Macaca fascicularis: one gene and its partners. The protein of the gene in region 3 binds, or shares a complex with, the protein of the main gene of each other region. Links are inferred from orthologs where the notes say so. Each region holds a gene or a part of one and is shown on either strand. Other genes may lie near its edges. The genes, in order: FAM181B, FAM181A and TEAD4.

Region 1 (3,863 bases), on a different chromosome or scaffold from region 3:
AGACACTTTATTTCCCCCTGAGCTACCCAACCAGCTGTGGAGTACAAGAACATTACCATCCTCACCCTCTTAGATCAGGAAACTGATACAAAGAGGTTACAATTTGCCCAATCTCTCCCTCCCAAAGTGGCTGGAAAATGGGGGAAAGACAGGAGAGAAATGGAACCCAGGTTTGCCAAATTTAAGTCTCCTACAAAAGAGATGAGCAAGAAAAGCTGGCCGAAAGAAATAGAGCAATGAGAGGCCAGGCAAAGAAAGAAGGAAAGTAAGCACTGGGACTGATAAGGGTGGAAGGAGATAGAAGCAAGAAGCGGGCAGGAAAAAAAAAAAAACAAAAACGTTAAAGTGTGACAGAAGAGAACCCTACCCAAGGACCAGCAAAGGAGGTCAGCAGTGGACCACCGGCCTCCGTCCTCAGCCACAGGCTCACCTAACAAAGCCAAGGGACCAGACGAAAAACCGTCCTGTAAGAAAACACCCAAATCAATAAGTCTCCGCTCCATTCTTTTCAATATACGCTTTAATTCAAAATGCACTCAAGGAGAGGGAAGGGAGGGACTAGGACACTGTTTAGAAGGGGCAATTACACTAAACACACTGACCTTCGCTGAAAAATAGAAAAGACAGGTGGCTACAGAAGCCAGCTCTTGCCCCTTCTGCCGTCCCCACCCCATACCGTCTTGGTTTCTTGGCTCCTCTGGTCCAGTAAGAACCTACCAACGTGTTTGGTTTTGTTTTAACACGTGAGGTTGTGATTAAACAATCCCCAACTCCTCTTCATCTCTTTTTTCTGAAGTTGCTTTTATTAACTGAATTTTTAAAAATCCGGTTTCATCTCCACGTGTATTTTCCACCGTTCTTTAGATTTAGGAGAAACCCATGGAGGCGCGGCGCTCTCCACATCCGTCTCTAACGGAGGGAAGGGTGCCTCCAAGTCAGTCCCGGTGCGCCCCCTCCTCCCCCGGCGCCCCTTCCCAAACCGCGTCGGGTCTCCAAAGGCTGGAATAAGCGTTGCGGCTGTAGCCCGCGCTGTAATCATAGGACACCTGATGGGGCGGCGGCGGCGGGGGCAGGGCGCAGTCTGGAAAGAAAGGGGAGAAAGAGGCCAAATGGCCCGGCCCGTCCTCCCCACCGGGAGAGTCCGCAGCAGCCGGGTACAGCGGGCGCAAGGGCTCGTTCAAGGTCAAGCCGCCGCGGGGGGCAGTCAGGGGGGGCTTTTTGGTCGGGGGGCAGCCCGGGACGCTCCAGGGCTCGGGGTACAGTAGGTTTCCCACCACTGCGGGCGCCGGGTCAAAGAGGCCGGACTCCAGCTCCGGGGGTCCCCGCAGTACGGAGGCTCCGGCGGGGAACACGTCGAGAGGCTCAGCGGCCAGCAAGACGGCCGCCTCGGTGCCGGCGCCGTAGTCGGGCCCCAGCAGCTCAAAGAACTCCACGGCCTCCGCGCCCTTCTCCAGGTCGCCCAAGCTCACGTCCGGCCCCGACAGGCCACACCCGCCGCCGCCTGCCCGGGACGGCTCCGTGAAGAAGGACGGAGGCAGATTGCGGGCCCGCAGTGGGACCTTCCTGGCCCCTGGGACCGCCGTGGCCCCCGCGGGGCCGGCCGCGTCCCCTCCGGCGCCCCCAGTGCCCGCACCTCCTAGCCCGGCCACCGGTGCAGCCACCGCACCCCCTGCCGGCTCGGCACCCCCGGGGACGTGGCGTAGCGAGTCGAAGAGCGCGGCCAGACTTCGACTTTGCAAGCTGGCGGCCGCCGCGGCCTGAGACGCCTCCCGCCGGGGGACAGCCTTGCCGTGGGCCGGGGCCGCGACTGTCGGGGCGCTAGGGGCGGCCAGTGGCCGTTTGGCGGGCGTGTCAGTGGCGCTCGGGGAGGGCGGGCCGGGGGGCACGGCGCCCATGAGGCCGCTGCAGCGCTTGATCTGCTTCTGCAGGTACTTGCGGTGGTTCACCTTCCGCTTCGACTTGCCCGGCTTGTCCAGCGCCAGCTTGATGTTGCTGGACGCCGAGTCAATGAAGCTGAGTAGATCGCGGGTGGCCTCGCGCACGTCCCCTCCTTCGGCTCCCGAGAGCAGCGCGCCCGCCGGAGCCCCGGTCTCATCGTCCTCGAAACAGCAGCCCTTGTCCAGGGCTCCGAAGGCGCCCCCTAGCCCGTCCGGGGAGCCCCCGAAGCCGAAGGGCACGAAAGGGTGCGTGCTGAGGAGCGCCGCCTGCACCGCCATCGCCGCGGCTCCCCGGCTGTCCGCAGCGCTACCCGTGCGCCCCCGCCGGCTCCTGCCCGCCGCCCAGGCCCGGCTCCCGCCCCGGCGCGGCGCGCGCGGCGCAGCCTACCAGCTCCGTGCCTGGCTCGCTGCGCGGCCTCCCAGGGGAGCTCATTAGGTCTTGTAAGCAAGGGGCGGAGGGAGGGAGCGCGCGGCGACCGCCCCGGTGGTGCAGGGGAGGGGCTTACTTAGCCTGGCTTGGAGGGGCGGGGGGTCGCTTTAGTTTTCTGAGCTTTCTCAAGCTCAACGCCTTAACCCCTTCGTTTCCCTTTGCTCCGCGGCGTTTCTTTTGACTCCTCCAACCGCAAGGGGTTAGGAAGAGATGGCTGGTCCCCAAACTCCAGCTCATGCCCGTGAGGCCGCTGCAGGGCTTGATATGCTTCTGCAGGTACTTGCGGTGGTGCCTTTCCTGAGGCAAGAAGGCGGGAGTCTAGAGACGTGGGGTTTCAGTCCAGCTGTGTAACAACACCTACCAGCTTCTGGGCGCTTGCTTCTGCCAGGCGCTGTCCATCTATTATCTCATTTAATCCTTGAACAACAGCCCTGTGAATTACATGTTATCACCGTTCAACAAATGTGGACACTGCGTCTCAGGGAGGTTCAGTGAGTTGGCCAAGGTCAGATCTAGCCCAGTCTGACACCAAAGCCATTCCTAAGCCCCTGACAATGCTTGCGTCCTCTCTTGCCCTTGCCTTTCTCATCTATAAGATGGGGGAGGAAAATGAGTATTTCTTAAAGCTCTAGACCTGATCCTAAGGTTCTAACCTGAGTTTTCCCAGGATTCTCAAGCCCAGTGCTCTTTCTTCTTGACTGTTTGCCACTTGATTGTTATGAGTAACAATTGGCTAACAGTAAATTGAGGCCAGCAGTGGCCCATCTTTTATTAATACATAGCGGGAGGCAATGGAGAAAGGAGTCAATCTGGCTAAGTCCCCTGTTGCTTGAGAACACCGTGTGTGTATAAAACTCTTAGCATGTTAGAACAAAAGACGGATTGGAACCTCTCCCCTACCTGTCATACCATTTAGGTTATCCTGGAATTTTCGTTGCATTTGGAGAATCATCTTGAAGTTCACTTAAAACTAATTTCACCTGGGCAATCCTTTTGGGATAGATAGAGAAAATGAGCAATAAGGTCATTTTCATAAGAAATTCAGAAAAGGGTTGGATTCTGGTCTTAGCCACCACTCAATAACCTCTTGACTTAGGTTGAAATCCTTGCTCTGCTGAGTTCATGGCTTTAGACAAACCAGCGTACTCTGTTTAGCTTACTCATGTTAAAAGCAGGTAAAGTTGCCCTCCCCACAGGGCAACTGTGATGTTTAAATGATACATTATTCCATAGCCTGGATGAGTATTCACCCTTACTTCTCTGAAACACAAAAAGGTGACTATATTCCCTTATGTGTCTTCTGGATCATAGGGTGTACATGAGCATTAAGTGAGATCACAGATGCTTCTCGATTTATGATGGAGCAACATCCTGATAAACCCATCATAAGTTGAAAATATTGTAGGTTGAAATGCATGTAATACACTGATCAATCCTTTGTAAAGTTGGAAAATCATAAAGTTGACCCATCATCAGTTGGGGACTGTGTCTATGAA
Region 2 (4,097 bases), on a different chromosome or scaffold from region 3:
GCCGGCAGCTCCAAGGAAGGGCACCAAGCTGACCTGGGGGACAAAACAGGCCATTGGAGTCTCTCCGAGCAACCACACCCAACACTGCCAAAAGACCACAGCACCTGTCTGCAAACGGTGTCCCCACCCCAGCACCCCTCAGCCTTAAACAGAGTCCTGGGTAGAGGGATGTGGGTGCAAGTGGCTGAGCACTTCCTGCACACCTGGGATGCAGCAGGCGCCAGCAGAGCCTCACCCAGCCTGCTTGCGTCTGGTGCCCTCTTCTTGCAGCCAAGGCTCAGAAAGGTCAAGCAACTTGCCCAAGGTGACCCAGCTACAGGTGGCATTACTGGGGCTGGCACACATTCCCAGCCTGCCCCGTCTCCCACACACCGCGCTGCCAACTTGCCAGCGAGGTGTTTATTCTCTGAGCTGAGGCAACTGCTCCACTTTAAAGCAAGGCCAAGCCCCCTTCCTCCCTGGTGGTAGCCTCCCCCTCCCACCACTCCCGTCCCCGGCATGAGGAGCGCCAGCCCCCCCTCCTCAGTCCCCACGCTCCACCCCCAGCTCTCACGCAGGACCAGGCAGGACCCCTGTCTGGCACTTAATCGAGACCTGCCTTGCAGGCTGATCTCAGGCTGCGGGCAGCAGGGACTCCCCTGAAGAAGCATCTGCAGCAATTTCATGCCTCCTCGGCCGCCACCCACAGCACCTCGCCCCTCCCCCAGGCCCCAGCCTGCTCCACACCCGCCACCCAGTCGGGCCAGAGCCACCGGGCCTCCACACTGACCGAAGGTGCGGCCAGGGCCCAGCCAACGTGGCCCGGCAGGTTCCCCACTGCAGACCTGGGACAGGCCCTGGCGCAGCCGGCTGAGCTCCGTCCGGCTGGAAGCAGTTGTGCAACCCTCGAGTGGGCTGAATGGAGGACAACTCCCCGGAGCTGGGGGGCCCCTCAGGCCAATCAGGAGCGCCTCTCCAGATACAAAGCATCCCAATCAGGCAGCGGCGCCCCGTTCCCACATTCTTTGCCGTCACAAATTGTCACCATGGGGACCATCACAAAAAAGACAGCTCCCAAATGCAATCATTTCCCGGTAAATTTTTACCCTTCAGCCCCACTCTCCTGGGCCTCCACGCTCCTCCTCCCCTTGACCTCGGTTCCCTGGTTTCTCAAGGGGGTGGTGTGTGTGTGTGTGTGTGTGTGTGTGTGTGTGTGTTTAAAATGTCCAGGATCGAGAAGGGGCTGGGCCTAGTAGAGACAGGCTTGCAAACCTCCCCCAAAGACTCCAGGCCTACAGCTGCCATGCTCCAGTGCGGACAGACAATCGGACGGGGTAAGCTGGGGCGGGCTGCTTTTCCCGCTGTCCTTGAGTGTTGAGTGGCTCTCTCTCTCTCACTCTCTCTTCTCCTCTCTCTCTGTCTCTCCATCTCTCTCTCTCTCTCTCTCTCTCTCTCTCTCTCTCTCCCCCCCCCCCACCTGCCATCCCCACCACCCTCCCTGCCAGGATCCCCAGGGATCGGGGATGGAGGGCCTTCGAGGTCGGGAGGTGCGCTGATGCCTGTCGGAAAAGGTGGCCGAGGAAGGACTCTGTAACGAGGTGCTGGGATATCCATGGGAAGGGAGCTGGAGCTCTCAGGAATCTTGTCTTTATGTTTGCTTCCTCAATTGAGCTGCACAAAGCCTGAATTGCCCATTCAGCGCAGCCGGACAAAAGGTTGGCGTTGCACGGTCCCCTTGCATTTGTAGTCAAACAGTTAGGGACTTAAATCGAGTCGTCATGATGGAGAAAGAGGTGGACAAAGCCCATAGAATTGCCATCAGCAAACATTTTCCTGTGTCATATTAGCCAGTTTCCATGGCTCCCCCTGGCCTGCGGACAATGGCACAAGTTTGCACACTTGGCTACTGTCACCGTGCCAACGCCGGCGGGGCTGCAAGCAGGGCCGCTCTGAGCAAGCAAGGGAGCCCAGAGCCGGCGCTGGCCCTGCCCACCAACTGGCCAGAGGGAAGGTGAGGCTGAAGGCGAGGGCGGCTGCCTGGGAAATGCTAATGGTCGTGCCTCCGTGCCAGCCCAACTCATGGGCCCCTTTCAAGCCTCATCGTTTTTCTGTCCAGGCTCAGCCTCCTCTTCCCTCCTCCTCTCCTTCCCCTTCCTTTCCTCTTCCCCTTCTACTGCCTTGTCCTCCTGTCTCCCTCATCAGCCAGATGGCTGACGGTCTATGCGCCAACCCACGCCTCTGTACTGCAACCTAAGATTTGGCATCTTAGGTTGCAGGACTCCTCTCTGGAGTCTCCCTACCCAGACTGGGGGCATTGGCAGGGCAGGGCCAGGGCCTCCATCCAGGAGGGATGGCCCCAACTCCTTCCCACTGGCCATTAGACAGCTGCTGTGGTCTGCCTCCAAGCCATCTCCCCTACCCCCAGCCTGAGGGTCCCTACAGGCAAAATGAAGGGTTTGGAGGAGATGGCCCGTGCTGACAAGCTGTAACTCAATTTAGGCCTTGAAAGCCAGCACTGTATTCTCCATGCTCCTCTCCTGCTGCGGGGTCGGGGAAGTGTGGACTGAGACGGAAGCGCCGCTGGACTGACGCATCCTAGATTGTCGGCCACTATGTGCCCTGGAGAGTTGCTCCTGCCTGTGGCAACCTTTGCACGGGTGAGAGCCAAACCATCATCATTTTAAGTGCCAGAGATTCGAGGGCTATGTGTTTCTGCAGTAACTCCCAGCCCATCCTGACTGGTACAGGCAGGAAATATCCTTTCTGCTCCAAAACACCTGGCACACGTGGCTGGAGAGAGTGTCCTGAGGGCCTGCGGCCACCAGGGCCAGCTCCCTGCTGCCTACTGCATGAAGCTGGTGTGCACAGCCAAGAGTTCGAACATCTCTGGCAGCCAGCACCTGACCACATAACAGCCTGCTTTGCTGTGCCCTGCCTTTTTCTCCCCGGGCCTTCTGTGCTTTCTGTAGGCTGCATCATTCCGCTCTCCAGAAGATCTTTTCTCTTCTAAGGGCGTCAAGACATTTTAAAGCCACTCAGCTCAGCTCCCAGAGTCCTCGAGATCCCACGGCACCTGCAGCCCTGCCGGCCCATTCCGCACTGCCAGATCATGAAGATGACTCTCATTTCTTAGCTAGTAGTGAGTCCCCACCAGGCCCGTGGACTCCATGGGAGGTGAGTCGGTGTCTTATGAAAGTCTTTCCAAAGCTCTGAATGTGGGCTGTTCTTCCACCAAACACTTTTTGAGGAAAGAGAGAAGGAAGAAAAGAGGGAAGCGAGAAAGGAAGGGGAGAGAAAAGTGGAAGAAAATGGATTCTTTGCAGACACTCAGCATGTGCCAAGAGCCATATTCGAGCCACATGAAGACCTCACGTGACCCTCGGGGCAGCTCCGTGAGGATAGTGTTTCGGTTGCCCTGACAAGTGAAGTGAGGTTGAGTTACTTTCCCAAGGCCTCACAGCTGTTAACCAGCAGAGCTCGAACTTGAAGCCAGGCCTGTCTGCGTCCAAAGGCTGAGGTGGATCTGCCTGGCCACATTGCCTCCTGGCGCTCCCATGAGCACCAGACACTGCCTAAACGCTGCTGGCCAAGACCAGATTTTCTCCACGCGTCCTGGGTTCCACTCTTCTAGCCCAACGTTGGACCTTCCTGACTCAGGAATACGGGAGCTGCAGCTTTGGGAAGTGAGGAGCGGGGAGAGGAGGCAGCTATGGCTTGAGGCCAGGCCTCTCGGTGCCTCTGACCCACACAAGGGAAGGCTCTCTGTGTTTTTGTGATTGGCCATATAGGCAGGTGGAAAGACAGCAGTAATCATACGAGTCTGAAGGTTCTCCCAGTGTTCTCTCATTATTGTCCTGTGTCTGGGCAGAGGGGATTATTTTTCCCATTTACAGTTGGTGACACACTCACAGAAGCCTCAAACCTGATTCTTGGGCCCAACTCAGCCAACCCTGTCCTCTCAGCCATTCTTCAAGGCCCAGCTCAAACATCCCCTCCTCCAGGATGCCTCCTGCCAACTCCTAGCATTGTTAATAATGCCCTCTCACATCCCTGTGTTCCTAGAGTCAAAGATGAAGTCTAACCTCCTTAGCTAAATGCAGAAGACCCTTAGTAATCTG
Region 3 (3,626 bases):
CTTCCAGAATGTAACTCACTTTCCCAGTTGTCTCCTCTTATTCCCTCTTTCATACCTTTACCTACGGCTTCAACTTCACTCCAGAGCTCACTTCCTTCTGCCTTTACTACTCATGCACTCCTAGGCTGCAACAGCCTTGCCCATCTCTGCCAACAGATATGCCCATCCCTCAGGCTGGGGTCCAACTTCCATCCTGCTAGTTGAGCGCAAACGCTAAGTGTCTTGAAGGTCAGAGGCCATAGGTCTCAGTTCCAACACTTGTCCCTTCTGGAGACAGCCTGCCCCCACGTTCAGCTGTGGGTGACAGCCAGGCTGGGGGCTGCTCACTGGGAGCTGGCAAAGCCATCCGAACGTGTATGTAAACTTTGGTGTGAATACGCGTCTTTCTAGGAAAAGTAAAGCTTTCAGATTAGGAAAATGGCCTGGGAGCAAATAAATGGTAAGAATCTCTGCACAAGAGGCATCGAAAAGAACGTGTAAGGCCGGGCGTGGTGGCTCGCGCCTGTAATCCCAGCACTTTGGGAGGCCGAGGCGGGCGGATCACAAGGTCAGGAGATCGAGACCATCCTGGCTAACACGGTGAAGCCCCGTCTCTACTAAAAATACAAAAAACTAGCCGGGCGAGGTGGCAGGCGCCTGTAGTCCCAGCTACTCGGGAGGCTGAGGCACGAGAATGGCGTAAACCCGGGAGGCGGAGCTTGCAGTGAGCTGAGATCCGGCCACTGCACTCCAGCCTGGGCGACAGAGCGACACTCCGTCCCAAAAAAAAAAAAAAAAAAAAATACAAAACAAAATTAGCCGGGCGTGGTGGCAGGCGCCTGTAGTCCCAGCTACTGGGGAGGCTGAGGCAGGAGAATGCCGTGAACCCAGGAGGCGGAGCTTGCAGTGAGCCGAGATCGCGCCACTGCACTCCAACCTGGGCGACAGAGCGAGACTCCGTCTCAAAAAAAAAAAAGAAAAGAGTGTGCAGAGAGCTGAAGGGGAGTGGGGAAGAGGGATGCGGGCAGAGCCACCAAAACCTCAGTCCATGTCCTGAGAATATTCCAACCCTCAGTCACAGAGCCTGATTTCCTGTCCTTCCTCACTGCTGGCTTCATTAGCACTTATCTGTCTGACTCTCTCCTCGCACCCCTTTTCTGCACATACTGGGCCCGCAGGAAGCTAAGCTCCCAGGGCAGCTACTGTACCTCTGGGCCTCAGACAAGACGTTTCTAATGGAGGGGGTTCTACCCACAAAACACCTGCCCAGGGGTGAGGTGGGAGGGCCGCAGAGGCCAAGTCTATGGGCTGAGCTATCTGAGAAGTTGGGTGGGTGTTTCTTCTGGGGTGGCCTCGCCCATCCAACACTTCCCTCCCCTTCTCCAAGCTCTGTTCAGCCCAACATGCCTTGGACATGAGCACTGAAGGACAAGCTCCAGGCCCAGAAACCCATGCAGGACTTGTCATTCAAAGACCTGGGTGACAAGGGCGCTCCTCATAATGTCTTCACTCATCCCCGTAGGGTCCCCTTTGTCTTTTTCTGGAACTTCACCTCCTGAGGGCTCCACGTCTTGCCGGGGTTAGCTGCCATCACCACCCACGAGACAAGGCTTCATTCGACTAGGCCAGCTCTCTGGGATCACCGCCTTGTTCCTCAGCTCAGCTCTGACCACCCCATAGCCATGCTGGGCTTGCTCTCCCCTTCTCACTGGTGCCACCTCCCCAAGTTTCTACTGTGGCAAGGGCACGCTCTGGGTACTCTCGCCCCATTCTCACTACCACGGACGCCCTGGTGGTAGGAAGGAAGAGTTTATCACAGGCTTACCCAGAACTTCACGAGAAAAAAGGCATTGGAGGGTCCCCGTTCAAAGAGCTCCTTGAGTCCACCCTTTTTCTCCGGGAATTTGTCATAGATTTGGCGGATGTCCACGGCTTCGAGGTAGGGGTCGCTGTAGCTTGGGCTGGACTGGCCAATGTGCACGAACAGGTGCTTGTTGTACTGTAGAGAGAGTGGGTCTGAGGGAGGCGGAGCACAGGCCAGACGGTCAGACAGTCCCAGCTCTGCATGCCCACCACGTGACCCGGCGCAAGCCGCTTGGCCTTTCTGGACCATAGTTTCCCCGTAAGTGAAATGGAGATGGTAAAAGACTTCTTTTATTTTACATCCTGAACTTCTAAGAGTCTATTCGGTTCACAGGGTCGTCAGTTAAAAAGAAGTTTGAGCTGGGCACAGTGGCTCACACCTGTAATCCCAGCACTTTGGGAAGCTGAGGTTAGGAGTTCAAGACCAGCCTGGCCAACATGGTGAAACCCAGTCTCTACTAAAAATACAAAAATTAGCCAGGTGTGGTGGCGGGCACCTATAATCCCAGCTACTCGGGAGGCTAAGGCAGGAGAATCGCTTGAACTCAGGAGGCAGAGGTTGCAGTAAGTTGAGATCACACCACTGCACTCCAGCCTGGGCGACAGAGCAAGTCTCTGTCTCAAGAAAAGAAAAAAAAAAAAAGTTTGAAGATGTCAGAGTGAGAAGGGCCCTGGCATCCTGTCACGCTGGCCTCCTCCAGGTCCCCCTCTGATCTTTGCAGGTGACGCTGGTCACCCAGGACACTGGACACTGAAGGGGACAGGCTGGCATCCCGTAGGATGTGGAGCAGACGTACAGGAGACTCCCCAGCTTCCTGCCTGCCTCTCAGAGCCAGGGAAAGGCTGGGACAGTGTGGGGGTGGGGCTGGGACCACAGCGACCTTGGACTAAGGGTTGGTTGGGTTAGGAGGGGAGGAACACAGGACAGGGAGGGAGGAACAGGGCACTGGGCCAGGGAGGAGGGAAAGAGGGAAGGGGGTGACGTGAAGGAGGAAAGGAGTCGGGGGAAGGATGGAAGGAAAGACCATAAAGGAACAAGGAACTTGAATTAAGCCCCAGTGTGGAGTGGGACAAGAGCACTGGAAGCAGAAACAGAGGCAGAGGGGGTGGCGGGGAGCCAGCCAGGCACAGGCCAGGACCTACCGTGTCCGGGTCCTGCTGCTGCTCCAGGAAGGCTGAGAACTCCAACATCCAGAGCTTGGAGCTGGCCACGCTGCGGCCCTGCCACGGGGGTGCCGGGGGCGCAGAGGGCGATGGGGCGGGCCCTGCAGGAGACTCAAACCCTGCACAAAGTGAGAGAGGCACATGGAACCTGGTCACGGACACCCGCCCTGCCCGCACCCTCTGCAAGGACCCCCGGCCTCCTCGGACAGACCCGTGCTGCCTGGGGGGCCGCCTGTCTCCCTAAACGGACCTCCTAGCAGAGGTGGAGGAGAGAGTGCAAGGCTTGGGCATCCTGGAGCCTCTCTGGTGGGGAGGGGCTCGCCTGGTACAACTCAGGCCGCTCAGGACTCTGCATGGAACCGCCCAGCAAGACTGGATTCTGGAGGGCAACTGGGGTCCTGCAGGACCACGGCTTCCAGAACAGGCACTGTTCAGTTCCTGCTGTCCAGCAACTTCTGTTCCCGTCGGGGAAATAACCAGATGAATCAACTATCACAATGTGGCATCGCCCTGGAGAGACGGGGACGTTTCCTGTGTGCGTCACAGGTGTCTCCCCAGCTCCCAGAACAGGGCCTGGCCCAGAAGAGGCTCTCCATCCAGCGCTGCTAACAGATGAACCT

The links.
Region 1: the proteins of TEAD4 (region 3) and FAM181B are in contact, whole or in part, in a crystal structure (PDB 6SEO), measured with the Homo sapiens proteins. The link is inferred for Macaca fascicularis from reciprocal best matches to the Homo sapiens genes TEAD4 and FAM181B. Residues at the interface, in NP_003204.2 of Homo sapiens: Glu263, Ala264, Val265, Asp266, Gln269, Ile270, Asp272, Lys273, Leu295, Lys297, Trp299, Glu391, Val414, Glu416, Val417, Ser418, Ala419, Ser420, Gly423, Gln425, His426, His427, Tyr429; in NP_787081.2 of Homo sapiens: Pro221, Leu222, Arg223, Arg225, Asn226, Leu227, Pro228, Ser230, Phe231, Phe232, Thr233, Glu234, Pro235.
Region 2: the proteins of TEAD4 (region 3) and FAM181A are in contact, whole or in part, in a crystal structure (PDB 6SEN), measured with the Homo sapiens proteins. The link is inferred for Macaca fascicularis from reciprocal best matches to the Homo sapiens genes TEAD4 and FAM181A. Residues at the interface, in NP_003204.2 of Homo sapiens: Glu263, Ala264, Val265, Gln269, Ile270, Asp272, Lys273, Leu295, Lys297, Trp299, Glu391, Val414, Glu416, Ser418, Ala419, Ser420, Gly423, Gln425, His426, His427, Tyr429; in NP_612353.3 of Homo sapiens: Pro191, Met192, Arg195, Gln196, Leu197, Pro198, Ser200, Phe201, Trp202, Glu203, Glu204, Pro205.

The regions. Positions count from the first base shown.
Region 1 is NC_088388.1:81,723,757-81,727,619, forward strand, and holds FAM181B (protein FAM181B), read right to left. Parts: upstream 2,351-3,863; 5' UTR 2,217-2,350; coding exon 936-2,216; 3' UTR 503-935; downstream 1-502.
Region 2 is NC_088381.1:161,937,127-161,941,223, reverse strand, and holds the start of FAM181A (protein FAM181A), read right to left. Parts: upstream 2,904-4,097; 5' UTR 2,888-2,903; intron 881-2,887; exon of another isoform or gene 770-880; intron 34-769; 5' UTR 1-33.
Region 3 is NC_088385.1:3,905,533-3,909,158, reverse strand, and holds part of TEAD4 (transcriptional enhancer factor TEF-3), read right to left. Parts: intron 3,126-3,626; coding exon 2,986-3,125; intron 1,979-2,985; coding exon 1,805-1,978; intron 1-1,804. UniProt on the Homo sapiens protein: Transcription factor which plays a key role in the Hippo signaling pathway, a pathway involved in organ size control and tumor suppression by restricting proliferation and promoting apoptosis.